Stegostoma tigrinum: one gene and its partners. The protein of the gene in region 3 binds, or shares a complex with, the protein of the main gene of each other region. Links are inferred from orthologs where the notes say so. Each region holds a gene or a part of one and is shown on either strand. Other genes may lie near its edges.

Evidence for each region.
Region 1: taf7 (region 3) and gtf2b share a complex: the UniProt entries of both Homo sapiens proteins name them as parts of the TFIID-containing RNA polymerase II pre-initiation complex. The link is inferred for Stegostoma tigrinum from reciprocal best matches to the Homo sapiens genes TAF7 and GTF2B.
Region 2: taf7 (region 3) and taf13 share a complex: the UniProt entries of both Homo sapiens proteins name them as parts of the TFIID basal transcription factor complex. The link is inferred for Stegostoma tigrinum from reciprocal best matches to the Homo sapiens genes TAF7 and TAF13.
Region 4: taf7 (region 3) and taf4a share a complex: the UniProt entries of both Homo sapiens proteins name them as parts of the TFIID basal transcription factor complex. The link is inferred for Stegostoma tigrinum from reciprocal best matches to the Homo sapiens genes TAF7 and TAF4.

The regions. Positions count from the first base shown.
Region 1 is NC_081361.1:89,377,277-89,384,611, forward strand, and holds the start of gtf2b (transcription initiation factor IIB), read left to right. Parts: upstream 1-4,316; 5' UTR 4,317-4,410; coding exon 4,411-4,430; intron 4,431-7,335. UniProt on the Homo sapiens protein: General transcription factor that plays a role in transcription initiation by RNA polymerase II (Pol II). Involved in the pre-initiation complex (PIC) formation and Pol II recruitment at promoter DNA.
Region 2 is NC_081365.1:35,350,197-35,357,298, forward strand, and holds the start of taf13 (transcription initiation factor TFIID subunit 13), read right to left. Parts: upstream 3,009-7,102; 5' UTR 2,904-3,008; coding exon 2,877-2,903; intron 1-2,876. UniProt on the Homo sapiens protein: The TFIID basal transcription factor complex plays a major role in the initiation of RNA polymerase II (Pol II)-dependent transcription.
Region 3 is NC_081368.1:72,085,314-72,092,741, reverse strand, and holds the start of taf7 (transcription initiation factor TFIID subunit 7), read right to left. Parts: upstream 3,019-7,428; 5' UTR 2,704-3,018; coding exon 2,664-2,703; intron 1-2,663. Other genes in the region: zgc:101583 (magnesium transporter NIPA2), read left to right, coding at 3,368-3,388. UniProt on the Homo sapiens protein: The TFIID basal transcription factor complex plays a major role in the initiation of RNA polymerase II (Pol II)-dependent transcription.
Region 4 is NC_081372.1:17,927,106-17,934,465, forward strand, and holds the start of taf4a (transcription initiation factor TFIID subunit 4), read right to left. Parts: upstream 3,006-7,360; 5' UTR 2,999-3,005; coding exon 1,570-2,998; intron 1-1,569. UniProt on the Homo sapiens protein: The TFIID basal transcription factor complex plays a major role in the initiation of RNA polymerase II (Pol II)-dependent transcription.

The DNA of each region.
Region 1 (7,335 bases), on a different chromosome or scaffold from region 3:
TCCCTAACCTCTCTCAATATCTGTGGATACACCAGAGCAGGTCCCCATGATTTACCCAGTTTTGTATTTTCTAGGACCTCCACAGTTCCTCTTGTGCAAAGTGAACTGTTTTCAAAACATCAGTATTTTCCTTGAGTTCTCTAGCTGCCATTTCTTTCTCCACAGTCAAAACTGATGGTGTAAAACATTAATATCTCTCCTGTCTCCTGAGGTTCAACACAAAGATGACCCCTGCTCTCTCTCTAGCTGCTCTCTTCCTTATAGCATCGCTTTGTATTATCCTTCACCTTATCTGCCAAGACTTATCTCAATATCCCCTCTTTGCCTTCCTGATCTTGAGATTGCTGCTATACTGTTCAATATTCACTTGAGCCCAGTTGCCTATATGTAATTTGTTTCCTTTCTTGACTAGAACCTCAATATCTTTAGTCATCCATTGTTCCCTCGTCCTGCCAGTGTTACCTTAACTTAACCGGAGCATCATAACTCTGCACTGTTGTTTTCAAACTTTTGAAAGCTGCTCAGTTGCCAGTCGTCCCTTTACAGTCGGCTCTGCTATAACAACATGTTTCTTCAATGCAAATTGGCTTTAACATTAGATTAGATTAGGTTACCTACGGTTTGGAAACAGGCCCTTTAGCCCAACAAGTCCACACTGCCCCTTGAAGCATCCCACCCAGAGCAATCCCCCTATAACCCCCACACCCCTGAACACTACGGGCAATTTAGCATGGCCAGTCCACCTAGCCTGCACATCTTTGGACTGTGGGAGGAAACCGGAGCACCTGGAGGAAACCCGCGCAGACACAGGGAGAATGTGCAAACTTTACACAGGCAGTCGCCCGAGGCTGGAATCGAACCCGGGTCCTTGGTGCTGTGAGGCTACAGTGCTAACCACTGAGCCACCGTGATTGAAGAATTTAAACTGCTATTTGTAGTATGCAACCTTTCTTTACCTGCATTGGCTATAATGCGATTCTGGCCCCATTAGTTTAAGTGGTGTGGCTACTGCACCATTTTCTTATAATGCAGGATTGCATGAGAATGGATCTAACGTGTTACATCAGAACTGACAGTCCCTGTGAATAATCTTCTCCAACCAACTTTTGAAATTTCCTGTCTCATGCCATTAAAATTTGCTTACTCCAGTTGAAAACTTGAACATTTATGGGAAGCTTCTCCTTTTCCATAACTACTTTAAAACTAATTGAGTCATTAGGTAATAAAATGTGAGGCTGGATGAACACAGCAGGCCAAGCAGCATCTCAGGAGCACAAAAGCTGACGTTTCGGGCCTAGACCCTTCATCAGAGAGGGGGATGGGGTGAGGCTTCTGGAATAAATAGGGAGAGAGGGGGAGGTGGACCGAAGATGGAGAAAAGAAGATAGGTGGAGAGAGTATAGGTGGGGAGGTAGGGAGGGGATAGGTCAGTCCAGTGAAGACAGACAGGTCAAGGAGGTGGGATGAGGTTAGTAGGTAGGAGATGGGGGTGCGGCTTGGGGTGGGAGGAAGGGATGGGTGGGAGGAAGAGCAGGTTAGGGAGGCAGAGACAGGTTGGACTGGTTTGGGGATGCAGTGGGTGGAGGGGAAGAGCTGGGCTGGTTGTGTGGTGCAGTGGGGGGAGGGGACGAACTGGGCTGGTTTAGGGATGCGGTGGGGGAAGGGGAGATTTTGAAGCTCAAGAAGTCCATATTGATACCATTAGGCTGCAGGGTTCCCAGGCGGAATATGAGTTGCTGTTCCTGCAACCTTCGGGTGGCATCATTGTGGCACTGCAGGAGGCCCATGATGGACATGTCATCTAAAGAAATGGTTACCATTTCCACTCCCCCCTCCATTCTTTACAACCCTGCAGCCTAATGGTATCAATGTGGACTTCTTGAGCTTCAAAATCTCCCCTTCCCCCACCGCATCCCTAAACCAGCCCAGTTCGTCCCCTCCCCCCACTGCACCACACAACCAGCCCAGCTCTTCCCCTCCACCCACTGCATCCCCAAACCAGTCCAACCTGTCTCTGCCTCCCTAACCTGCTCTTCCTCCCACCCATCCCTTCCTCGCACCCCCATCTCCTACCTACTAACCTCATCCCACCTCCTTGACCTGTCTGTCTTCACTGGACTGACCTATCCCCTCCCTACCTCCCCACCTATACTCTCTCCACCTATCTTCTTTTCTCTCCATCTTCAGTCCACCTCCCCCTCTCTCCCTATTTATTCCAGAACCCTCTCCCCATCCCCGTCTCTGATGAAGGTTCTAGGCCTGAAACGTCAGCTTTTGTGCTCCTGAGATGCTGCTTGGCCTGCTGTGTTCATCCAGCCTCACATTTTGTTGTCTTGGATTCTCCAGCATCTGCAGTTCCCATTATCTCTGTGTCATTAGGTGTATGGTTGGGAATCACTGCAGGTCAGGCAGCATCTGAGCAGCCGGAAAGTCATTGATTTATGTCCTTTACCTTTTTATTTCTTTGTTCATACAAGCTTGTCAATATGACTAATCAGAAGTTACTACTTTTGAGGTTCTGTTTTTTTAATGTTCTATTTAACCTGTCTTGCACCTTCCTCAGTCCTGTCAAAGGGTTTTGGCCTGAAACGTTGACTTTCTTGCTCCTCAGATGCTACCTGACCTTCGAATTAGAACCCCTACAGTGTGGAAACAGGCTCTTCAGCTCAACAAGTCCACCCAGAACTTCAGAACATCCCACCCAGACCCATCCCCTGTAATCCACCTATTCTACATTTCCCTGAACACTATGGGCAATTTTGCATGGCTAATCCACCTACCCTGCACATCTTTGGACTTACAATGCTTTTCAAACCTTTCATCTATAGACTGTGGCTCCCAGTCTACAGGCCTTATTGTGTCCATTTCATTAGAGAAATATCAACTTGCATTTTCACTAGAAGATTTTTCAGAAATATCTTTTCTAGTTGTGGTAGTAATATTCTCCTTAATCAAAAAAGCCAGATTCCCCCCCCTTCCACCTCCCTTGCTACATCTCATCTAGCATCTGAAACTCGGAGCATGGAGTTGCTTGTCCCTCAGCCATTTCATAATAGCTGTTACATCACAATCCTACGTTCCTTAACGTGTCCTCAGTTTGTTAACCTTATCTTTAAGACCCATTGCACTGAAATTTAATGCAGTTTAATTCTTCAGAGCTACTTCATTCTTTGGGGTTTTACTGTCTTTTCTAATTGTTCTTTTCAGATTCAGAACCATCTTTCTGTTGATCCGTTACTTAAGATCCCTCTATCCCTCTAATAGTTTACAGTTTCCCTTAATAGACATAGTAAATCTCTCCACAAGGATATTGATCCCTTTCCGGTTCAGGTGATACCCATTCTTTTTGAACAGGTCTTCTCTGCACAAGAGGAAGTCCGCGATGTTCCAAGAACCTCGATCCTTGAATATTACATCACTTTTTCAGCCATTGATTTATGTCCTATATCCTTTTATTTCTTCCTTCATACAAACTTGTTAATGGAATTAAATTGGAGGGTACTGCTTTTGAGGTTCAGTTTTTTAAATGTTCTATCTAACCTCTTATATTCAGTCTGTAAAGCCTTAATCTTTTCCTTAACTATGTCATTCCTACGAATGTGTACATTAACTTCCAGCTTCTCACTGACCCTTTTAACAGTATGCTTTAAACATTTTGAGAAGCCCTTAATCCTTGCTCTAGGAGAAACAACATCTTATCCTAGATTCGTGCTCGCTGACACAGAATCTCTGTGTTTGGAGGTGTGGGGAGGTGGAGGTTGGAACGAAGAATAAAAATGGTGAACTGACAGTAGCGTGGATCTTGTAGCTGCTCCTGAGTTTGCAAACTTTCTTTTAGGTTTCTTATAGTATACTATTGAAATGTAGTAAAAATTTTTATTTTGAGTTATGTTGGTTCTTTTGTAGTCAAAAATCCAAAAAGCAAACACTTTTTTTTCCAAATAGTGTTTGCTGAGCTTTCGGAGAAGCTTTTGAATGGATAGCTCAAGTATTTTTTTAAAAATTATACGCTAAAAAAGTTATACATGTAGGAAAGATTCTTTTAAAACATTGCTGAAGAGATTTATTTAAATCACGGAGGAGGATTTTTTAAAAACAATTGTGTTTTTAGAGCTTTCAGAAAGACCTACAAGTTGATGGCTCTGGGGTGAGTTTTTTAATCAATGGATTGAAAGCTGTCTGCTAGACTACCTGAGGAGGAGTTTTTAATTTGATTGTTCAGCTAAGTGGTTGATTTTATTTAAGATTAAATGTTTGATTTTCTCTTTTTTTTGCATGCTTAGTATTCTTTGGGAAAATATAAGGTACTGTTGAAAGCTGCTTTTTAAGCTTGATGACATTGAGGGCATACAAGAGACAGATGCCTAGTAGATTTACAGAAGTGATTTCACAGCAGGATCGGTCAGATAGATGGGTGACTGTCAAGAAAGGTAAGAAGTCTGTTCAGACGTCTCCTGTGGCAATTTCTCTCTCAAACAGATAATTCAGTTTTGGGTACTGTGGGTGGATAGTCTCGGGAAAATAAAAGGTGGTCAGATCTTGGGTACTAGGGATGAATCTTGTAATAGGCGGGGTGTGACAATTTAAAAGAATAATTGCTATAGGAGACTGTTATTTGTTGAATACGGTACGGGGATTGGCTGCCAGGATTTGGAAAAGAGCTTGAATTTTTATTAAAAGGCTGGAGATATGGTTGGTACCAGTGATGTGTGAATTTTGATGGGCCATTTTGTCCTATTCTTTTTTGTATGTTTGTAATTTGGTTTAGGTTGACAAGGTGGAAATCTATAATGGCACGCTTTCAGCCTATGAACCAGAAATGTCATGCTTTGAATCTCAAATGTGCTGAGGTATTTTACTTCTCTTGGTTTAACTCCATCCTGAGCATCTGTGTAGTGCTGATGTGATTCTTATTCAGTAGAGGCAAAAGTAGTACTTAGAAGCCTACTGTTGGTAATGTGTATGTGTTCACTTGCAGAGTTTACCTGACATTTTCTTGTATCAAGTTGTTACAGTCCCATCTGATATAGCTGAAACAGTGCTCTTGCTTTAAGCACTGATTATAGTGCAAACTAAGTTTAAACTTGACACTGTGCCTGTGTCAAAATTCAGAGTGGGTTTGCTTCTGCAGTAAACTAAATTTGTTTTTTCATGCTTGGAAGGATAGTAGAGATGAGTAAACTCTTACCTTTTTAAAAAAAAAATTGGATGCACACTTGAAGCATTGTAATTTTCAAAGCTGTGGGCCTAGTGTGGGACAGTGGGGTTAGTGTAGATAGTGTATTTCAGGTGGTACAGACATGATGGGCCAAAGCGCCTCATCTGTAAAATTTCCCATAATACTCCAACATAATCACTGCAGTGATTTATAATGTGCTAGTGTGATTTTTCTTTTTTAATCTATTCCTCTTGTATGAGTTCAATTAATCATACTTTTTCAACCACTTTTATGGGTTTATTCAATTCGGCACCAAGGTGTCTCGCTGGTCATTGATTTTCAAAATCTTGTAATTTACTCTGTCCATTGATCAGTGTGCAACAGTTCACCTTCATGTTTAACTTACTTGGCCATACGTCTGTCCATTTTACCATCCTATCTTGATGGAGACTGCCACTGGTTTCACTGCCGTCTACTACTTTGCCACATTTTGCATCCACTGCATGTTTTATGATGCTACTCCCTAATCTTAGTCCGGGCAACTTATGTTAAAAGAAAACAAGAGGAAGGTCTGGTACACGTTTGTTTGGCACATTTGCCTTCCATCTTTGAAGCAGTAACACCTGCTGTAGACAGCAGGAACATTGAATGTGTTGTAATTGTCCTTCCAAGAGGCATTTGATAAGTTTATTAAGGAGGTGCAGACTGTGAATAACTTACTTTCTTGAATCCATCTACATATCTATTTGTGTACGTTGGTACACAATGCAGGGCAATATCAATAACTCATAAATATGAGGAGGCATTCGTATGTCAGATCTTTAAAATCATTGCTAGTATACCCCTGTATGGGATCGCACTTGTTACTATGAATGTTCAAAAATCAGGGATTGTGTAGATGATAACATTGGTAAGCATAGAACATGGGCTGGCTAACAAGTGAGCAGTAAGAGCTGATAGGTCTTTTTCAAACTGGCAGGATGTCATGTGTGTACCACAGTTTGGTGCTGTGGGCTTAACTCTTTACAATTGATGAAATGCTTTCGATAAAGGGACTGCAGGTGTAGTAACTGAATTTGAAGATACTAGTGGGAGAATCTAGAACAAGAAGTCAGGGTTTAAAAGTAAGAGGTTGCCTGCTTAAGACAGCAGAGAAAACACTATTTTCAAAATCCCTGAGGGTTAAACCTTCGCAATTCCTTTCGAGTGAATGCAGAATCTTTACCTGTGTACCAAAGATATTTAGGTAGGTTTTTGCTTACAAGGGATTGAAAGTTTATCTGGGATATGCGGGAAGTTAGAGTTGAGATTATAAACCGATTCGTCGTGATTTTATTGAATGGCAGACCAGGTCCGAAGGGCTGAATGCACTGTTCTTGTTCCTTGTTAATGTGTTCATAACAAATTTGTGCTGGCTGAGCTTGATTAGCGCACACCTTTTTGAATGAAAGCTTATTTTGTCAAATAACAAACCTATTTCCTGGCTTAATCCTCTCCCTCCTTTTGAATACTGAGTTTAATATTAATAATCCTACAGTTCCCCCACAACTGTATCTAATGCAGATTGAAAAATTGTGACTGTCTCTGCTATTTCTATTGTTGCTTCTTTCAACAATGCCATCTGCATTCTACTCGGACCAGGTGACTTAACTACCTTTACGGAATGATAATTTTTAAGAACATATTTTCTCTCTACAAGGCTTTTTGCAGCTTTCTTATTGTCTGCTTTCTTAGAAGACAGATGCAAAGTACTAATTTATTACTATGGCTGTGCCTTGTGGCTCTCCATGAAGGATGTTTTGGTCCTTACTAAGTCATAAGTATGTGTTTAAACTTGCATTTTAAAATATTTTAAGCTTCAACTTAATATTGCCATAACATTTGTAGTGATCATTCCTTCCCACCTTGCCCTAACTCTCTCAATGTTTCTCCTGTATTTTCTGCAGTCTTCATGGCTATCTTCTGAATGATACTTCTGACAAACAATAAGCACATTTTTAAAGCCCTTTCATAAGCACCAGACATCCCAAAGCAGTCTGCAGCCAATGAAGTTTTTTCGAAACTTTAAAAAAAATGAGTGTAGTAACTGTTATAACGTAGGAAACATGGCAGCAAATTTGTGCCTGAGAAACCTAAGAAACAGGAATATGATAATGATATTGGTTGAGCACTGCGTT
Region 2 (7,102 bases), on a different chromosome or scaffold from region 3:
TCAATTCCTGTCACTAATCCTACTGGCTGTATATATCTCATTCCAATCCACACACTGATTGCCAATCTCTTTCTCCTTCCATTGGTTGCAGATATCCCTCCCAAGCTCTCTGTGCTAAGCCTCATTTCCTGTTTTGTTATAGCTCCTTTATCTGCAGTTTCCAGCCACAGCACTAACACTACATTCAGCCTCCCCCACAAATATGCTGTATTTTTGTCCTGCAAATGATTGGCTTTTTCAGCTTTAATTTTAAACCAATCCCACTGTTCCCCATCACTTTCTTAACACAGCAATTCAACACCACTTCAAATCCCTACTTCCACATTCATTACTACATGTGCCTTCCCAGGGATTGGTTCATTATAATCCACGCTTTCATCCTTAATTTGAAAAATAAAAATGTTTTCAAAACTGGAAAACAGGGGAAAGGCAAGTAATATTCAGGGCATCATTCTGGATGGAACTATATGCATATGCAAGAAATGTGAAAATGGGACAAGTTTGTCACAAACTGTGAAAATATTAAAAATCAAGTCAATCTTGAAAACTCAACACAACTTGTTCACAGATAATAAAATGTGAGGCTGGATGAACACAGCAGGCCAAGCAGCATCTCAGGAGCACAAAAGCTGACGTTTCGGGCCTAGACCCTTCATCAGAGAGGGGGATGGGGGGAGGGAACTGGAATAAATAGGGAGAGAGGGGGAGGCGGACCGAAGATGGAGAGTAAAGAAGATAGGTGGAGAGGGTGTAGGTGGGGAGGTAGGGAGGGGATAGGTCAGTCCAGGGAAGACGGACAGGTCAAGGAGGTGGGATGAGGTTAGTAGGTAGCTGGGGGTGCGGCTTGGGGTGGGAGGAAGGGATGGGTGAGAGGAAGAACCGGTTAGGGAGGCAGAGACAGGTTGGACTGGTTTTGGGATGCAGTGGGTGGGAGGGAAGAGCTGGGCTGGTTGTGTGGTGCAGTGGGGGGAGGGGATGAACTGGGCTGGTTTAGGGATGCAGTGGGGGAAGGGGAGATTTTGAAACTGGTGAAGTCCACATTGATACCATATGGCTGCAGGGTTCCCAGGCGGAATATGAGTTGCTGTTCCTGCAACCTTCGGGTGGCATCATTGTGGCAGTGCAGGAGGCCCATGATGGACATGTCATCAAGAGAATGGGAGGGGGAGTGGAAATGGTTCGCGACTGGGAGGTGCAGTTGTTTGTGGCGAACTGAGCGGAGGTGTTCTGCAAAGCGGTCCCCAAGCCTCCGCTTGGTTTCCCCAATGTAGAGAAAGCCGCTCCTGAGATGCTGCTTGGCCTGCTGTGTTCATCCAGCCTCACATTTTATTATCTTGGAATCTCCAGCATCTGCAGTTCCCATTATCTCTCACAACTTGTTCACAGTCCAACCAGCCGCCAGCCTCTCTCAAAGCACAGCATGAATCAAGACATAACTGACATAATCATAGGATTGAGCCTCCTCCTCTGTATCCAAGTATAATTAATCCTAGAAATCAAGACCAAGCAAACTAATTCAACCTCCTGGCCATGACTGCTCCTAATGTAAGCAATGATACAAATCACTTGAATGTGTTCATGCATCCTCCTGAGAAATACATACTTGAAATGTACAAATTGAAGGTGGCTTCAGAAAATGTGTGAAATGCATATTTACATGTAACAATTTTATGAAATGTAAATAGAACAACGCAAGTTTGAATGTCAATTTTAACTACGTGACAAGAATAAATCAAATTTAAAAACCTGAGATTCTTCATGTACCTCCACATGTTACCCTCATAGCAGCTGCAGAGGATATAGATCTGTCACACATTTCCTGCTGGAATGTGCCTATTCAAAGGAAGTCTGGAGAAAGATGCAGTGATTTTTGTCGCGGTTTGTCCTGAGCAGCTCTGTGACACAGGACTCTGTGCTCTATGATCTGTTCCTAAGGATGCATGGACTGCACCTGGAGGATCATAAATTTGGTGAAAAACACTTTGGTCTGCCGGAAACTTGTTGGTCTTCCAGAAAAAGGAGTTGATCCTGACTGAGTGCTCCAGATAGGCATATTCCGAGGTACAGGTCTACATGCTGAGGGATGCACTAAAGCTTTGGGACAGCTGCCACCAAGGCATCGTTTAGGGTCTTTCTGCCAAAGTTAAATGGAGGTCTGTTCAACCATCAGACCCTCTCGATGCTTCAAATATATGTAAATGTGATCTTGATCAAGTAAGAAAGGCCTTTGGTTTGTTTGCTGGATAGAGTCAAACTTCCACGTTTGTTTGCTTTTTCATATGGTCTCTACAGAATTGAACTGCCATAGGAGCTGCAGGTGTATATAAAGATATTTTATAAATAAAGTATATTTTTTAAATAAATAAAACACAGACTGCAGTAGTTCAAGAAAGTGTTTGATAACCAGCTTCTCAAATCAATCAGGGGTGGGCAATAATGACACCCACGCTATGATTTTTTAAAAATCCACTATTATAACCCTAATTTCTCCACACCTCATACCTTTCACACAGCACATACTCTGTTACTCAAAACAAGTAACAAAAAAATGAAAAATGCCACGGAAGCTGGGAATCTGAAAGTTACAGAAACAGAAAACGTAAGAACAAAATACTGAAGAAACTCAGCAGGCCTAGCACACCTTGTTTTCTCAGATTCTCCAGCATCTGCAGTTCCTATCATCACAGAAAAGTAGGGTCGTTTGCAGCTCCCGATTTTTAATTGTTTTGCTGATTTCAGACTATGGCTGCTGAAATTAGCAAATAGCTCAGTGTCACCGTCATTCAGGGCGTTTCGTTGCTGCTGCTGGCGGCAAGAGACATCGATCCGAGCCGTGAACATGCTGAAAGAGAGTGAAGTTCAAGAGCCAGACTCACCGGCTGCTCGTCCTCCTCGTCCGCCATCTTACTCGGAGACAGATCTCAGTCCATTCAACCATACGTCACCAGCCCGCGCGCAAAGCCGAGCAACTGTTACGGATAATGTTGAGGGGTTTCCAGAGAGACGTCCGCGTCACCAGCCACACGTGGTGGGTGTGGAGCAGGAAAGCTGACGTTTCAGGCCTAAACCCTTAATCAGAAAAGGAGTTTTGGCGCGAAACATCATCTTTCCTGCCCATAAGATGCTTCTTGGCCTGCTGTGTTCATTCAGCTCCACACCTTGTTATCACGGATTCACCAGCATCTGGAGTCCCTATTATCATCTTTACCCGTATTTATTTTTAAAGTTTTCCTTAAGACAGATAAAATGGCACAGATGCCAAATCGAAAGACTTTGTTTAAATATAGAAGTACATTCAATCTCAAGCCATGTCTTGTTCAAAACCAAATAGAATGCTCAATCTATTTTAACATTATGTTTAATCCCTCATCCTGAATCACTTAGTTTCTTGAATGCAACTGGGTGCATTTCAGAGGGCAACAAAAAGTCAACCGCAGAATCAGAATTGTATTGGTACAGAAAAATGCTGTTTGGACTGTTGTTTGCACCAGCTCTTAAAATGGGCATCATGACTCATTTTTCTACACTTTCCACATCACCTGCATGTCGTTTCTTGACTGCCTCTATTGAACCTGTCTCTGCCATAGACGATGAACTCCCAACCTGAACTACACAGTAAGTTTTTTTTTCCATATTGTGTTTACTTCTTTTACAAATGATTTTAACTCTGTGCCCCTCATTCTTTGTCCTTTAGAGTGTTACTTTGAGATAGTGAGAACTACAGATGCTGGAGTCATAGATAACACAGTGTGAAGCTGGAGAAAGACAGTAGGCCAGACAGCATCAGTGGAGCAGGAAAGTTGATGTTTCAGGTCAGGAAATTTCTGAAGGAGGGTCCCAACCCAAAATATCAACTTTCCTGCACCTCTGCTGCTGCCTAGCCTGCTGTGTTCCTCTAGCTGCACATTGTGTTGTCTATTTCCATGTTACTCTGACCACATTGCTTGTGATTTTGAAAACTTCATTAATCTCCTTTCATCCTGTTCCTCTCCAAGGAAAACAGCCCCGATTTCTTTAATCAGTTGATTAAGAAAAAACATCCCTTAAAAATGATATTGCTTTCCATGTGTTCTTATAAGGATTCCTGATAATGTGGACTGATGAATGGTATACACAACAGAAAATGTGAATAAAACAAACTGCCTGCAGGTTGGGAGAGATAGTAGGAACTGCAGATGCTGGAGAATCTGAGATAATTAGGTGTAGAGCTGGATAAACACAGCAGGCCAAGCAGCATCAGAGGAGCAGGAAGGCTGATGTTTCAGGTTTAGACAAGGGTCTAGGCCCGAAACATTAGCCTTCCTGCTCCTCTGATACTACTTGGCCTGCTGTGTTCATCCAGCTCTACGCCTTGTTATTGCAGGTTGGGAGAATCTGCAGTGAAAATTGGCAGGAACTTTGATGCAGGTTTGTGATCACAAACAGGTTAAGCTATGAAGGATAATTTATTTCCCTAAAGGACAAATGTGCCTCAAGTTTGTTTAAAATAATTCAGTTTATTTATTTAATTAAGATGTGGTAGTAGGGGGGTGGACAAGGTCAGAAATCATGCAACACCAGGTTATAGTCCAATGGGTTTATTTGAAAACACGCTTTCGGAGCCTTACTCCTTTTTCAGGTGTTTGTGAGAGGTAGTCTCAGACACAGAATTTACAAGTAACAGATCAAAAGGTTACACCATTGATGTGGATGTACCAAACAAATCTAAGATGCTGTTAAATCATTAACCAGTTGAAAATTTTAATTGATTATTATGTATACGTAAATCCCTGAATTCCTTTCAAGTCACTGTCCTGTGAGAACCAAAGGCTTTACCAGTGTCAAGAAGAGGGACATTTTAGATCAGACAATGCGACTTAGGTGTGAGCCCTTGTTTAGAATCATTTTTGTGTTTTAGTTTGGAGTCAGACTGGTTTTATTTCTAAATGAGGAATTTATAAAACACCAAATTGACTGTCTATGAATTGTGTGCTTTTTGAACAAAACAGAAAGTGTGGTGGGGTCACTGGTAGTGCAGTATGAACCCAAGATCCCATCTGAGGCTGTCCTCATGGGTACTGAACTTGGCTACCAGCTTCTGCTCGGTGACTCTGTGCTGTTGTGTAACCCAAAGTCCAACTTGGAGGATGTTTACCCGACGATCTGAGGCCGAATGTCCTTGATTACTGAAGCGTCCCCCACTGGGAGGGAACATTTCTGCCTGGCAATTGTTGCGTGGTGTCCATTCATCTGTTGTTATAGCATCTGCATGGTTTTAAAATATTGTTTAGTACATCCTCATCAATAGTGTGACCCTTTGATCTTTTACTTATAAATTCTGTGTCTGATACTACCTCTCTCACTAACATGTGAAGAAGGAGTAAGGCTCTGAAAGCTTGTGTTTTCAAATAAACCTGCTGGACTATAACCTGTTGTCATGTGATTTCTGACCTTATTTAATTAAGTTTAAGTTCCCATGTGGCAACAGAGTTCAAGTCTCCTGATCTTTAATATACTCTCTGTATTTACCAGCTCAGAAATGTGACCATTCTGCTATTGCTTCTCATCACTGAACTAGCATCAGACAAAAAAGCATTTTAGTACTCCAGTCTTCATGGCTACATGTCATATGTCTTGATATACATTTATTTCAATGTACTAGCTATGTTCCCAATTCATTTCTAAGGCAATTACTACAAAAAAATAAATTGAAGAATGGAAACTGCTTTAGAAATATAATACACCTGCAAATGCAAATTGACCCTCTCAGCAACAACGTAACTTTATGGGCAAATAGATGTATGGGCAAAACGTTGAATAATATTGCATAGGTATAAGTAAATGGATAAATCAGGTAAATAGTTTAAAGAATGAGAACTGAGAGTGTCAGGCTTAACTCAGGCTTAGCTTTTCACAATAGTTGAAACACTAAATGAGTACATTCCCTTCTTGCTAGCCCTCCTGGGTTTAGAGTGGATATTAGTGGCCGATCTATCCCCAGAAATGGAAACAGATGTTGTGAAAGGGAAGGAAGGAGTCGGAGATAGACCAGCTGAAAGTGAGGGCAGGGTGGAATTTGGAAACAAAATCACCAAACTTTTCCAATTCTAGACAACAGAGAGAGAAGCAGCACCAATGATATCGTTGTTATATCAGAGAAAGAGTTGTGGGTGGGGGCTGGAATAGGACTGGAACAAGGAATGTTCCACATACCCCATGAAGAGACAGGCATAGATGGGGCCCAGACAGGTACCCATGGTCACCCCTCTGAACTGAAGAAAATGAGGAAAAGTTAAAGAGAAGTTGTTGAGGGTAAGGATGAGTTCAGCCAAGCAGAGGAGAGTGGTGGCGGGTGGGGACAGTTCAGGCCTTTGCTCCAGGAAGAAGCGGAAAACCCTAAGACCATTCGGAAATGGGAATGAACATGTAAAGGGTTTGCATCTATATGGTAAAGAGGAGGCGGCCAGAACTGGCAAACTAGAAATTTTGAAACTGGTATAAAACAGCAGGAGAATTACGGATATACATTGGCGGGGACTGGACCAAGGGAGAAAAGACTGAGTCACGGTAGAAAGAAATGAGTTCTGTGGAGCAGAAACAGGCTAAAACAATGGGTCTGCCCAGAAAGTCCTGTTTGTAAAGTGCCTCCCACTTTAAAACACCATCCTGTTCCCTGACCAAGCGTGCTGCAGTGTACCATCAAAGCTCAGCATAAGCTAGAAGAACAACACCTCATCTTCCACTTGGGGACCCTACAGCCCTCCGGAATCAATAACGAGTTCAATAATTTTAGGACGTAAACTCTCCCATGTCCTAGCCCCCTACCGTACACACCGGGCCTTGTTATCACATAGTCTGCCATTGTACACTACCTATTGTTAGACACTAACAGTCCGCATTAACATCTATTCACCCTCCTAGCAAGATCATTATCAGTTCATTGTCTAGCCAACTACTCTTCTCTCTCTCTGGGCTCTATCCCCACTATTGTTTACTCCCTAAGCCTTTCCCCTCCTTGTTTTCTGCATATAAACCAATGTTTTCCTAACTACCATCAGTTTTGAGGAAGGGCCACCAGACCCGAAATGTTAACTCTGATTTTTCCTTCACAGATGCTGAGCTT
Region 3 (7,428 bases):
TACTCTAGAACACTCAGAAGCAAAGGAAGTGATTGCTGGGCACTTTGCTGAGATATTTGTAACATTGATAGCCACAGGTGAGATGCTGGAAAAGCAAAGGGTAGCCAACGTGGTGTCGCTGTTCGATAAAAGTGGTAAGGAAAAGCCAGGAAACTATAGACCGGTGAGCCTGACATCAGTGGTGGTCAAGTTGTTGGAGGGAATCCTGAGGGACAGGATTTACAGGTATTTGGAAAGGCAAGGATTGATTACGGATAATCAACATGGCTTTGTGGGAGGGAAATCATGTCTCACTAATGATTGAGTTTTTTGAAGAAGATTGATGAAAGCTGAGTGATGGACATGATCAATATGGACTTCACTAGGGCATTTGACAAAGTTCCTTATGGTAGACTGACTACCAAGGTCAGAGCATACGGAATATAGAGAGATCTAGTCATTTGGATACAGAACTGGTTCAAAGGTTGAAGACAGAGGGTGGTGCTTTTCAGACTGGAGGTCTGTGACTAGTGGTGTGCCACAAGGATTGATGCTGGGTCCACTGCTTTGTGTTATTTACATAAATGATTTGGATGTGAACTCAGGAGAAATGCATGTTCGTAAATTTGCAGATGTCACCAAAATTGGATGTGTAGTGGACAGCAAAGGAGGTAGCCTCAGAATAGAATGAGACCTTGGCTGAGTGAGCCAAAGAGCCAAGGAGTGGCAGATGGAGTTTAATTTAAATAAATATGAGGTGGGGCATTTTGGAAAGGCAAATTAGGGCAGGACGTATACACTTGATGGTAAGATCCATGGGAGTACAGCTAAACAAAGAGACTTTGGAGAGTAGGTGTATAGTTCCTTGAAATTGGAGTCATAGCCAGACAGGATAGCCAAGGAGGTATTTGGTATGTATCCCTTTATAGGTCAGTGCATTGAGTATAGGAGTTGGGAGATCAGGTCACAGCTGTACAGGATGTTGATCAGGCCACTTTTTAAAGACTGTGTGCAATTCTGGTCTCCTTGCTATAGGAAGGATTTAGTGTCTCAGAAATGATTTACAAGGATGCTGCCAGGGTTGGAGTGCTTAAGCTACAGGGAAAGGTTGAATAGGCTGACACTATTTTCTCTGGAGCATCAGAGGCTGAGGGGTGACCTTATAGAGGTGTATAAAATCATGAGGGGCATGGATAGGGTGAATAGCCAAGACCATTTCCCAGAGCGGGGGAGTCCAAAGCTAGAGGACATAGGTATAAGGTGAAAGGGAAAAGATTTCAAAGGGACCTAAGGGGGAAATTTTTCACAGAGGATCATGCAAGTACGGAATGAGCTGCCAGAGGAAGTGGAGGAGGATGGTACAATTACAACATTTAAAAGGCTTCTGGATGAGTGTATGAATAGGAAAGGTTTAGAGGGACATGGGATAACACTAGCAAATGGGACTAGATTTATTTAGGATATCTGCTATGAGTTGGACGGAAGGCTGTGTTTCCATGCTGTACAGCTCAATAAGTCTAAGAGCAAATCATGGGGAATCTGGACAGAACAGAATCAGTGAACTACTTCCCATTAGTGGAATAGTCAAGAACCGGATGACAATCAGCACTCCAAACGATCCCAATGCAGGGAATTTATTTTGCAGCAAGTGGTTAGGAGCAGGGATGTCCAAGAGTGCAGGAGGCAGTTTCAATTACGGTGTCAAGACAGAACTGGATATTTGTCTGAAATTTGCATAGCTGTAGGGAACAGGCAGGTTAGTGGGACCAAGTTGATCCTGGAGAGAGTCATCACAGAAACAATAGGTTGGATTGCCTTCTTCTATGCTATGACCATTCTTCAATTCTAAATCTTTTCTGAGTCCTGTCAAAAATTTTCTCATCCTTCCTGGATTTTGGTACTCAGACTGGGCATAAAACTCCAATTGAGGGCAGACTTTTTTTTAAAAAGGTGTCATAATATCTATGCTTTTGCACTCCAAGCCTCAATTTATAAAGCCCATTGTGCTTTTTCAGCCAGAGTTTTAAGGTGCTGTGCCACATTTAATGATCTGTGTGCATATGCCCCCTCAGGTCTCTTTGCTTCTGCAATCTCTTAGAATTGCACACTTTATTTTGCATTACATTTCCACATTCTTCATTCCAAGTTGTTCCTCTTTGCATTTGTCTGAATCAACTTCCTTCTGCTATATGTCTGCCTATTCCACCAGACTGCTATTTTTCTCACTGTTCAACCAAGAGGTTTCCAGTGGTGAAGATCACATCTCGTGAATAAATATAAGAAGAACTTGTGATATTGCATCTTGGACACCCAAGTCTAGGGTCATTAATATAGATAAAGTGACAGTCATAATAGTAACTTCGGGGAAGTACAATTTTGATCTTCAGACTGACAAAGGTTCACCACTGCACTGAGTGACCGCTGCCTTGGTCCCTTTTATGCCATAGGCATCAACCTTGTCGGTAAGCTAGTGATATGTCTCTACATGAAGTTAGTGCTACACAGTTTAGCCTAAACAAACTATTTCCGGTGTCGAGCTACCCCTTGTTATCTCAAATTCTTCAGCATCTGCAATTCCTACTATCTCATCCCCTGATTTAACCAGACTTGTGCAGCGTTTGTGGGGGCTGGCCTGGGGTGACAGAAACAGGAGGCGGCCAGGACCACAGGTTGAACTTCCTCACCTGTCATCTTCTTCCAGGACACGGAGCCTTTTTTATCCATATTCCTCAGGCCCGTCCGTCAATCCATCGGCCGCAGTGCCCAAGGCTCAGGATCACAAGAGACAGGGAGTGTCCAAAGGTCACAGCCCGTTGGAGGGGAGGAGGCATAGAGCAGCCCGGACTTGATTCTCGTCTCCTGGTACACAGCACTGCCCTCAACCTCGGAAACCTTCTCCCAGGGACAGGCCCAGCCAAGTTCCGACAACTCCGTGGGCGATGGGGAAGACTATTCCTGCTGCATTCGGTGGAGAGGATGGTTCCGGAGCGTGTGCGTGCGTTGTTAGGGGGTGAGGAGGGAAGTGGTCAAGTGACGGACCGGAAACGGAAGTTAGGGCGGAGCGGAGAGGGAGGTGGGTAAATGCAGCGAAGGTGAGAGTTAGAGTGGGCGGGAGAGACTGGAAGGAGTGTTAGTGAGCGGGTAAGGGTTAATGAAAAAGGGAGAGTTTGGTCGACGGCTAATGAGGAGAGAGAGGGTTTGACAGTGAGCCTGTAGAGGTGGGTGGGGTTAGCAGAGAGACAGTGGCAGCACAGTTTCTATTGGGTCTGTGAGGGCATGGAGGTGCTGCCTGTCAGTTTCGCTTCAAGCTCTTAGCTGGTCAGATATTGACCCTTCCTCTTAGAGTTCCTAAGATACTGCTTACAAAATCTATCCACTGCCAGGACCAATGGCTTCCTCTTTACCACGGGTAGGTGATGTGACATTGCATTACACACAGATTTAACTTATTGATATTTTCTAATTAACCTGTTCAGAGATATTATGGCACAATTTTCAAACAGGTGGAACTTGAATCCAGGCCTCCTGGCTCAGAATCCCCTATTCCTGGGCATTGTCCAAAGCCTGTCAAATTGACAGTCAGTAGTTCTGGTGAGATATATTGTTTACATTGAAACTCCTCTTGCAAAGTTTCTGATCTATTTGTTTTTGTTTTGCACAATTGAAATGTTTTCCTTTCAGTTTTATCCAAAAAATGTCACTGTAGAGTTGAAGATTGGTTTTCAAATGGTATGAGATCATAATTTTACTTATTTACAGTTACCTGATGTGTAACTTTATTGTGAAAAAGTTGAACCATGGTCTAGGGAAGAACACACTCACTATTCCGGACACTTGAGCATGCAACCCTGGCTAACACATAATGCAATTCTGACTGATGCTGCACTCTCAGGAATGCTGCCCTTCAGATGACATATTAAACCAAGGTTCTATCTACTGTCTTAGATGAATGCTAAAGAACCATGAACCTATTTTGAAGAAGTGAACACTGACAACATTTCAGTAACAGCACTGAAAACTTGTGCTCCAGAACTTGTCACTGAGTTCACCAAGTTATTCCAAGACAACTATAACACTGCTGTGTACTGGACAATGTGGAAAATTGGCCAGGTATGTCCTGTACACAGAGGCAACAAACCCTAGCAACCCCATGAGACTAATTTCAAACACCAGCAAGTTGATGGAAGAGGTTATTGACAGTTTAATCAAGCAGCTATTGCTTAGCAATACAGGCAGTCCCCAATTTAAGAATGACTAACTTATGAGTGCTTGTAGCTGTGATCACAATACCTTACAGGGGTGAATTAATATTAATTTTGAAGATCCAATATGTGAATATTATCTCGTCCTTAGGAATGGCTATTTTATATCATCCTGCATTATGTTCTGACTTGTGTACAAATCGACCTGTGACAGTATTCAAGAACAAACTCATTCGCAACCCAGGGACTGCCTGTGACTTGTTACCTGTCATTGAGTTTAGGATCATCTGGGGCCACTCAGATCCTGACCTTATTACAGCCTTCATTCTGACAGAGGCACAAGAGCTGAATTCCAGATGTGAGATGGGACTGTTTGCCCTTGACATCAAGGTTACAGTTCCCTGAGTGTTACATCAAGAACTCCTTACAAAACTAGTGTCAATGGGAATCATAGGGAAAATCTCTCACTGGTTGGAGTCATTCCTGATACAAAGAAGGGTGTTCATGGTTGTTGGAGGTCAGTCATCTCAGCTTTAGTATGTCTGTACAGTAGTTCCTCCGGGTGCTGTCCTCGGCCCAACCATCTTCATCTGCTTCACTGATGATCTTCACTCCATCGTAAAGTCAGAACTGGGGATGTCTGCTGATGTTTGCACGATGTTGAGCACTATTTGCAACTCCTCAGATACTGAAGCAGTCCATGTCTATATGCACAAAGTCCTGAATAATATCGAGGCTTGGGCTGATAAGTGGCATAGTCTGGTACTTAACTGTCATTAGCCACCAAGAAGAGCGAATCCACCTACCTCCCCTTAACTTTCATTTCTTCTACTATCAACTTCATGGGGTTACAAGTCACTGTAGAACATTACAGCACAGTACAGGCCCTTCGGCCCTCGATGTTGTGCCGACCTGTCATACCGATCTCAAGTCCATCTAACTGACGATATTCCATGTACATCCATATGCTTATCCAATGACGACTTAAATGTACCTAAAGTTGGCGAATCTACTACCGTTGCAGGCAAAGCGTTCCATTCCCTTACTACTCTCTGAGTAAAGAAACTACCTCTGACATCTGTCCTATATCTTTCACCCCTCAGTTTAAAGCTATGCCCCCTCATGCTTGCCGTCACCATCCTAGGAAAAAGGCTCTCCCTATCCACCCTATCTAACCCTCTGATTATTTTATATGTTTCAATTAAGTCACCTCTCAACTTTCTTCTCTCTAATGAAAACAGCCTCAAATCCCTCAGCCTTTCCTCATAAGACCTTCCCTCCATACCAGGCAACATCCTAGTAAATCTCCTCTGTACCCTTTCCAAAGCTTCCACGTCCTTCTTGTAATGCGGTGACCAGAACTGTACGCAATACTCCAAGTGCGGCCGCACTATAGTTTTGTACAGTTTCACCATAATTTCTTGGTACCGGAACTCGATCCCTCTATTAATAAAAGTTAAAACACTGTATGCCTTCTTAACAGCCCTGTCAATCTGTGTGGCAACTTTCAAGGATCTGTGTACATGGACACCGAGATCTCTCTGCTCATCTACACTACTAAGAATCTTACCATTAGCCCTGTACTTTGCCTTCTGGTTACTCCTACCAAAGTGCATCACCTCACACTTGTCTGCATTAAACTCCATTTGCCACCTCTCAGCCCAGCTCTGCAGCTTATCTCTGTCTCTCTGCAACCTACAGCATCCTTCGTCACTACCCACAACTCCACCGACCTTAGTGTCGTCTGCAAGTTTACTAACCCATCCTTCTACGCCCTCATCCAGGTCATTTATAAAAATGACAAACAACAGTGGACCCAACACCGACCCTTGTGGTACACCACTAGTAACTGGTCTCCAGGATGAACATTTCCCATCAACTACCACCCTCTGTCTTCTTTCAGCAAGCCAATTTCCGATCCAAACTGCTATATCTCCCACAATTCTATTCCTCTGCATTTTGTACAATAGCCTATTGTGGGGAACCTTATCGAATGCCTTGCTGAAATCCATGTACGCCACATCAACCGGTTTACTCTCATCTACCTGTTTGGTCACCTTCTCAAAGAACTAGTCACCTCTCAAAGAACTGATCGCCTTCTCAAACCAGAAATTGAACTGAACAAGTCATATAATACTGTGGCCATAAGAGCATGTGGAAGACTTGGCACCCTGTGGTATGTGGTTCGTCTTTTTAAATCCATTTGTGGGCTAGGCCAGCATTTATTACTCATCGCTAATTGCCCCAGAGTGTAGTTAAGTTCAGTCACATTGCTGTGGATCTGGAGTCACATGTAGGCCAGACCAGACAATGATGACAGATTTCCTTCCCTAAAAGGCATAGTGAACCTGATGAGTTTTTATGACAATCGACCGTGGTTTCATGGTCATCATTAGGCGCTTAATTCTATATTCTTATTGGATTCAGTTTTTGCCATCTGCCATGGGGGATTTGAACCTGTGTGAATGGAACATTGTCTGGCCTCTGGATTAACAGTTCTGCAGTTCTACCACTTGGCCATCACCTCCCCACCTAGTAACTCCTTAAAGCTTGTCCACAATCTACAAGGCGCAAGTCAGGGGTGTGAAGCAATACTGTCTACTTGCCTGGATGACTGCAGCTCTAACGCCCAAGAAGCTTAACACCACCCAGGACAAAGTTGCCCAATTGATTGGCACTAAATCCATAAACATCCATTCTCTCTCCACAGTCGATACTCAGTAGCAGCAATCTAACACTTAAAAAATGCACTGTAGAAATTCACTAAGACTCTTTAGACCACCTAGAAGGCCAAAGGCAGCAAATGCACAGGAAGATCACCATCTACAGCTTACCCTCCAAATGACTCTCTATCTGGTTTGGAAATAGATTGCTGTTCCTGCAATGTAGCTGTGTTAAAATCCTGGAACTCCTTCCCTGACAGCACTGTGGTTGTCCCTAAAGTAAATTTACTGTAGTAGTTCGAGAAAGTAGCTCATCGCCCTCTGAAGACCAATTAGAGATGGACAGTAAATCCGGCCCAGCCAGCAATGTCCACATCCGTGAATGGATTTGTAAAATCAAACGCACTTAAATAAAAAGAGAAAAAGCTGGTTACACCTAGCCAGTCTGACAGCATCTAACAGAAAGATATAATTTTCCAAAAAAAGTTACTTTCAGCTCAAAACAATAACTCTTTAACATCCATTGATGGTGGATTTAATTCACTTTAAAAGTTTACTATTACTCTTCGCTGGAAGGATGTGAC
Region 4 (7,360 bases), on a different chromosome or scaffold from region 3:
GGATAACTTTTTCATGCAGAGGGTGGGATGTGCATGGAACAAGCTGCCAAAGGAAGTGGAGGAGATGAGTACAATTACATTTAAAAAGGCATCTGAAAGTGTATATGAATAGGAAGTGTTTAGAGGGATATGGGCCAAATGCTGCAAATGGACAACGTCAGATTGGGATGTTTGACTGGCGTGGATGAGTTGGACCGAAGGGTCTGTTTTGCGCTATACGACACTGACTCTATAAGCGCAAGATGTACGGTGAAAGCAGTACTCACCTAAAGTTTTCTTTCCTTTTAAAGGTTATGTTCAGATGATACTTGTTCAACATAATTCATAATTTTAAACAAATTTCCCATGGGAATCTAAGCTTTACTACTGTAGCTGAAAATACTCCAGATGCAAGTCAAACTTTACAACTGCAAAATTTAAGCGATCAATCTAGCTCTTCTATTTGTTTAAACAATTATAGCAAAAAAGCTTCATCTGCTGCTCAGTGCACTTTTTTGAAGTCAGCGTGATGATAACCACGTCTGATTAACTTGGTATTGATTCCAGTTTGACAATGCAGTAGCAAATGCAGGAACTACAAGTGATAATTTTGTAGACATTAGTCATAATTCCACAATATTAGATCTTAAATCACCAATTAGTACCTCTTGGTCACAGGTGACAAAAGGGAAATTGTAATACCACATAAGCAAAAATAATTTAAATAATTATTTTAATAATCCTTATCAGCTCTATTCGGTGTTATAGTCCACTCATTTCAGAGCAAAACTTCAATATTAACATGCAATTCATCAGCTGAATCAGTTATCTGTCAGTAAGCACAGCAAGTATTTGTTACTTTTAATTGATTCTTAAAAAAGTCTTTGCAGTTTTGTTCAACTTCTGAAGGCTACGGAAAGTGCTGGTGAATATTTATATACTGGATTTAAAGTTTAATAGTTGTACATTGGCAGCAGTGTTTTGCACACCGAAAAATAAAACTAACTTTACCAACTGCTAAGATTACTTACTCACATAACAGAAATTCATCAACACAGCCACGATACTGCAGGAGGTAAATGCAAGTTTCCACTACATACAAGCTATACAAGCCCTATAATGATCAATGCTTTAACGTGAACAAAGAGCTGGATCTGCAAGTGATTTCACTCTGATCACCTGGAAATGAGTAGAATTACAACTGTAGACTGTAATGCCATTAACATTATATACACAAGGTTAATTGTTCAGTATGTTAAAATTAAATTAACTTCCACTGTGACACTATCCTTTTATATTCTGCTAGTCAGAAATGCTAATTTATGAAATTGTTAGGCTGTATTATAAATCATTTGGAAAATACAAACATTTTTTAAACTGCCTATAATTTTGCGTCACTGTAGTCTATGGAGACAGTTGACAGCCCATTGCACATTACGTTTTCCCACTTTGATTTAATTGCCTCTGACAAAACTATAAGTAAATATTCTAAAGACTAGCATTAAGCTGGAACAGAAAATAAGTAATTTTTCAAATTTCTTAATAGTACAAGAAAGCACAAGCCACTGACCAATATGATCTTATTCTCACCTGGGGGAATTTGAATATTTTGAATGTTTGGTTGATGCTGTTGGGGTTGAGGGAGACGGGGAGCTATAACTTGCGGTGTTATTGTTGTCCTTGGGCCAGTGTTCACTGCTGCTGTCCTTGCCATAGTTTGGGCAATTGTGTTAATGGTTCCTTTGCCCATTCCAACTGGCGTACCAACTGATTGAGTGGAAATTCCTCCAGGATTGGATGCCACATTCTGAAGTCCACTTTGTATCGTCTGACCTATTACCATAGTACTTGTGTTTGACTGATTGTTTAAAGTGGTCACCGCACTACCAGTTGTTGATGTCAATATTCCTGCACTGAGAGTCTGCTGTGGTGTCTGTATAATTGTTTTGGGCTGTAACTCAGATTTGATAACCTGTCCACCAGTGGACAAAGAAGCGTTGCTTGACAAACTAGAAGACTGACTGTTTAAAGTCAGAAGTGAAGTCTGATGTGGAGCTCCAGTGCCACTAGGTGCTGACAAGTTAGTTACACTAACTGTTGAGTTCAATATAGTACTACTACCATTTGGTGCTGATGCAACTGGCAGAACTGGGCCACTGTGCGCTGGTGGTCTCACCAATGTCACTGTGGGTCCTGCTGCCTGTGATGAAACAACAGTTGAAGGAACATTCTGTGTGCTGACAAAAGACGTCTGAATAACAGTGTAGACAGAACTAGAGACTGGCAAAGACACTGCTGGCAACCCTGTATTAACTGTGTTTTTTACAACAGATCCAGGTCCATTATTGACCACCGTAACAGCTGGCAAGGTAGTTGCAGCTGCTGAACAAGTAAAAGTGGTGGCATTTCCTGCATTGTGAGAGTTTATCGCCATTCCATTATTCCCATTAAGAGTTTGTACGTTGGAGGTGACAGTTTTCACATGGTTGGACACTGGGGTTGCCATTGCACTTATCACCACCGATTTTCCTTGACCGATGCTGCCTGAAGCTGATGTTTCCGACGATCCTGTCACTGCCGCTACTGCCGCTGTACTCTGCTCCTGTTCTACTCCTGGAGCCTGGGACCTTGCATTATTGATAACAACACTTTGCTGTGCCCCACTCCCCGCCGTCGTACAGGGCAAAACCCCACTGCCAAATGTGTTCTGCGAATTAATCTGTGCGTTTTTACCCTCAGAGCTCTCGTCCACTTTGATTTTGGCTGCGGTGGAAACCTCAGCTCCTGCCAGTCCCATTTTGTTCTCTGCTGTTTGCAGCTCAACATTATTGCTCACCATCCCGGGTGTGTTTTCCACGTGATTATTCACCACCTGCGCCCTTATTCCGGCCTGTTCCGCCGCGTTATGGCCCGTAGCCGCCAACTGGGACTCCAGGGAGCCGACTAAGTCGCTCACCACTTTCTCATCCACGTCTGAGAAGAACACATCGTCCAACAGATCTGAAGCCCCCGCCGCCATCTTAAGGCAGAACTCTTGTTTGACTCGGACCGCGCATGCGCACCGGGCCGTGTTGTTGGGGGTGACGTCAGAAGTGGGTCGGCAGCCGCCCTCCGTCATTGGTCAGCTCCCGGTTTAAAGCGCCGGCGAATGAAGGAACGCGTTATTGGGCTGTAGAATGACTGTGCCGAGCGGGCTGGAGAGGCGCCGCCGAGCAACCACACGAAGGCAAACGCTTTAATCCCGCTTGGTCCTGCCCGGGAGCCTGACATCTCTGACCGCCTTGATGGTTTCGGCGAGATTCGCGTCAAAAGCGACCGTTTTCCGCGACTTTTCTGATTTTATCTTTGTACATTATTGTGTGCAAGATGGCTCCCTGGCTTCAGATGCTAAAGGGCGCCACACCTGGTGGTGTGTGTGGAAACAGCAACTTGTCTCATCCTCTTTTTCAGAGGACATGTTAAACCTGCTTTAATTTTAATTCTACAGGGATCTGTCAGCGCACAACTGGACTAGGCGCTAGTTTGTTCTCCAATCGAATAACTTTTATTCGAAAGAATAAACGGATGGAGCTTTCGGTTGACTTTATCTCTCCTGTGATTAAAAAAGTTAACGTTTCGAGTTACGTGGCTAGCTTAGTTCTGAAGAGTCACTGGACTCGAACCATTAACTTTTCTCTTCACAGGTGCTGGCAGTCCTGAAGCTTTTTCCAGTAACCTCTTTCTTTGCTTCTTACGTAGTAAGAACTGCATATGCTGGAGTCAGGTAGCTGTGCAGCTGGAAGAACACAGAAGGCCAAGCATCATCAGAGTAGGAAAGCTGACGTTTCGGTTCGGGACCTTCCTTCAGAAAATCGGATCTTCGATATCCGTAGTTCTCTATTTCAGTTTTTTTTTGCTGCTTGGATGTTGTATAACTTGCTTTATCAGGATGTGGTCTCAGATTGGGTTATTGTTTTTGCTTTAAGTCTTTTCTGGCACATAATGTTCAAAACCACTTAGGAAAAAAGCTGTTTGAGCATTAGTTTGTTCTGTGTTCTGTACAACAAGCTTCAGTTTAAAATTATGCTACTTATTTTCAGTCTAAGATTAGAGCTCTCCCATATCTTTGGGAAGAAGTCTGCCGTTGGCTTGAAAGGTAAGCAGTCTTTATTTCTTTGGTGCTTGCTAGTATTTAGACTAAATATTGAATGTCTGAAGTCTAAAGGCAGTGTTCTGATTTAGAATGCTGTAGTATTGTTCAAAACTACACTAATGTAAAACTAGTTACTCTAAACATCTTTCAGCTGTCAAGTGAAAGCTGTCCTTGAATGGTTTTGTGATTATGCATAAAGCAATGGACTGTTCACATTTATGGGAAACTTAACTGTGGCATCTTAAAAGGAAAATGTTTCTGATAATATCACCTTGATTTTAGTAAATAAGGGAGACCAATTGATGAAGTAGACAGAAAAGCAAAACTTTTCTGACACCCCAGCTTATAGAACACTGGACTTTAAATAGAGTCACTTTAAAAAGGATATTGTAAATCAGTGAGAAGCTCATCAAGTCTCCATGAGCATGGGTCAGAACAGAACCTGGTCATTTGGCCCACGTTGTCTATGCTGACTAGTTCTCTAAACTAGTCCCTCATGCCTCAACATTTCCCATCAATGGACCTGTCCAAATGTCTCCAATTGTAACTGTACCTGCCTCTACAGCTCCTGACTACTCATTCATGTTGTGCCACTCTGGGGGGGAAAGTCACCACTCACCTTAAAGCTGTGCCCCCTCTAATATCTGACTACCCTGTCTGCAGGGGTGGGAAAGACTGCAACTATTCCTATCCATACCTGGCATGATTTTTAGCCCTGTAAGGTCTCACCGTAGTGTCTGACACTCCAGTGGGGGAAAGGGGAAACCAGCTCTTCTCTCTTCTTCCCCCCCCCCCCCCACCCTTACTCAAACCTCTGTTTTACTAGCATACTTCAAGTATGCAAAAAATCAGCTTCCTGGCATGCTTCCCATAGCAGGACAACCAGAATTGGGTGCAATGCTGCAGATGTAATGTGTTGTACAGATGCAACATGACATCCCCCCCCCAAACTCTTGTACTGTATGCTGTGACTGAGGGTGAGCATGCCAGACTGTCTTCAGGACTTTGTGCTGCCACTTTGAAAGAACTGTACTCCTGTACCTGCAGGTCTCCTTTGTCAGATCTCCCCAGGATACTACCATTAAGTCTCTGTGGCTTAGCTTGCCAAAATGCAACACCTGTTTGTCTGAATTAAACTATCTGCTATTCCTTGGCCAACTAGTTTGTTGATCAAGGTCCTGTTGTACTGAGGTAACCACCTTCATTGCATGATCACAGAAATCTGTGATCTGCAAACTTGATCATGCCTCCTGTTCACTTCAATCATTCCTATAAATCAGAACCAGTAGACCCAGCAGTAATCCTTCCAGAACACCAGTAGTCACAGGCCTCTAAACAACCCTGTACCACCACCGTCTCCCATCAAATGACTTTGTATCCAATTGGCTCTTTCCCTGGGTCCTATGTGATCAAATGTTACTAACCAATCTACCAGGCAGAATCTTGCCAATGTAGACAGCAAAAAACTTGCTGCATTTGCCTATCTTGGTCATGTCTTCACTACAAGCTCAAGCAAATTTGAATGCTCCCAGCACAGCCATGCTGTTTATCTTCCTCTAATCAGTCATTTCCTTTCCAAATGCATAGATCCTGTCCCTCAATCCCCTTCAGCTCACCTGTCTAGTTCCCTGGCTTTTGCAGCCTTTGCTAAAAAAGCACAACACTAGCCACCTTCTGTCTTCCAGGACCTTGCCCATATTTGTCAATGATACAAAGCTCTCTGCTCTGCAATGCCCTTGGGTCCATTTGATCTGGTCCTGGGGCTTAACCACCTTGATGCACTATACCTTTACCTCGTGTGAGCTAAACTTTAAAGACACCATGAATTTGTGTACCCTAGCTTCCATGTTCTCCAGTGTAAACAAAAAACTGACTAAATCAGTTTAGGATCACATCCAGCTTTTGCAAATCCATGCTGAATGGTTTCCTTATCTTCAAGGGGCCCTAGTATCTTCCTACATACAAATTTTGTAGAATTTCTCTTGAATCCAAAGAACCTCATCAATGATCACCCATTTCTGCCTATATAGCATCACTGGACAATAATTAAGAGTGCCCCAATTTAAACCCCCCCTTCTATCCTCCCTACAGCATCTACACCCAAAATTGAGCTGCTAGCTTTCTCCCTCAGGCTGTTGTCCCAAACTAAGTTTCTAATGAAAGAATAGGTTACTTGTCTTGGTCTCTTTCTAACCCTGTGTAGAAACTGAAGATGTTGGTATGGTTTTAAATGGGTGTCTTCTCGAGGGACTATGCTGATAAGTGAGTGATTAATACTCACTAAATGTGAGGATCAGCACCACTGTTTACAGCCTGTCTGTAGTTTAGAGCCTGATGAAATTTTACCCTAGGCTGTTAAAGTTTCAAAGTTGAGCACTGACTGCATGAGTCCACTAAGTGATCCAGCAGATTGGAGCTCTGCCTCTCTTGGAAAAGCAGAGGGCTGACTGCTGACCAGTCAGCAGCACATTGGTGGAAATAAACTTTTATTGGTGTTGAGATTGCAAACTGACAGTTCAAAGGTGTGGATTAATAGCGATCAAGGAAAGACAGCACTGAGGGTGTTGTAGTTTGTGCTTGTCTGCATGCTTTTTAGCAAAGCTTTAACTTGATGTAACCTAACTCCAAGGGGATGTAGTTAACTTAGTATCTAACTTGCTGAGGAACAGGAACCAAAGCTTGAGTTTTTAATATGGAAGGCTGTTTCCAGTGCAGTTGCAGGATTCAGTACCTCTAACAATTTGGCTGCTATGAGGATAGCTATAAACTGCATGGAGACATAAATGACTGGGTGGATAGAAGTAACAAATGGAATTTGACCCTGGTGATGCATTTGAGGTTAAGTACAGTAAAGCAATCTTTGTAGAGCAAGTGAAATAGGTAAATTTTCTCTAAAATCAACATTGTCAGTATATGTTGAAGCATGACATTGGCTAGGTTCCATGCTTGTGCATTTCTAATCTAAGTTCCAGCTCTGAAAAGCATGGAGACTGGAAGGTCTTGCCAGAACTAGAAGAAATAAGTTTCCAGTCTAGGATTGAGCCTCTTTTCAAGAGGAAAAGTAGAGATTTGCTTAGCCCCTGGCTAGTGCATTGAATGGTTCTAATGACTTCTAAAGTCAGTGACTAGGAGGGTGTAGATGAAGTAACTAAACTTCTGAGTTGTAGGGGTGTGACTCTTCCTCTAAGATTAGTAGAGGCCAAGCTTTTCATCCAGCTGGTGTGGTGTTAGGAAACAAATGACAATTGG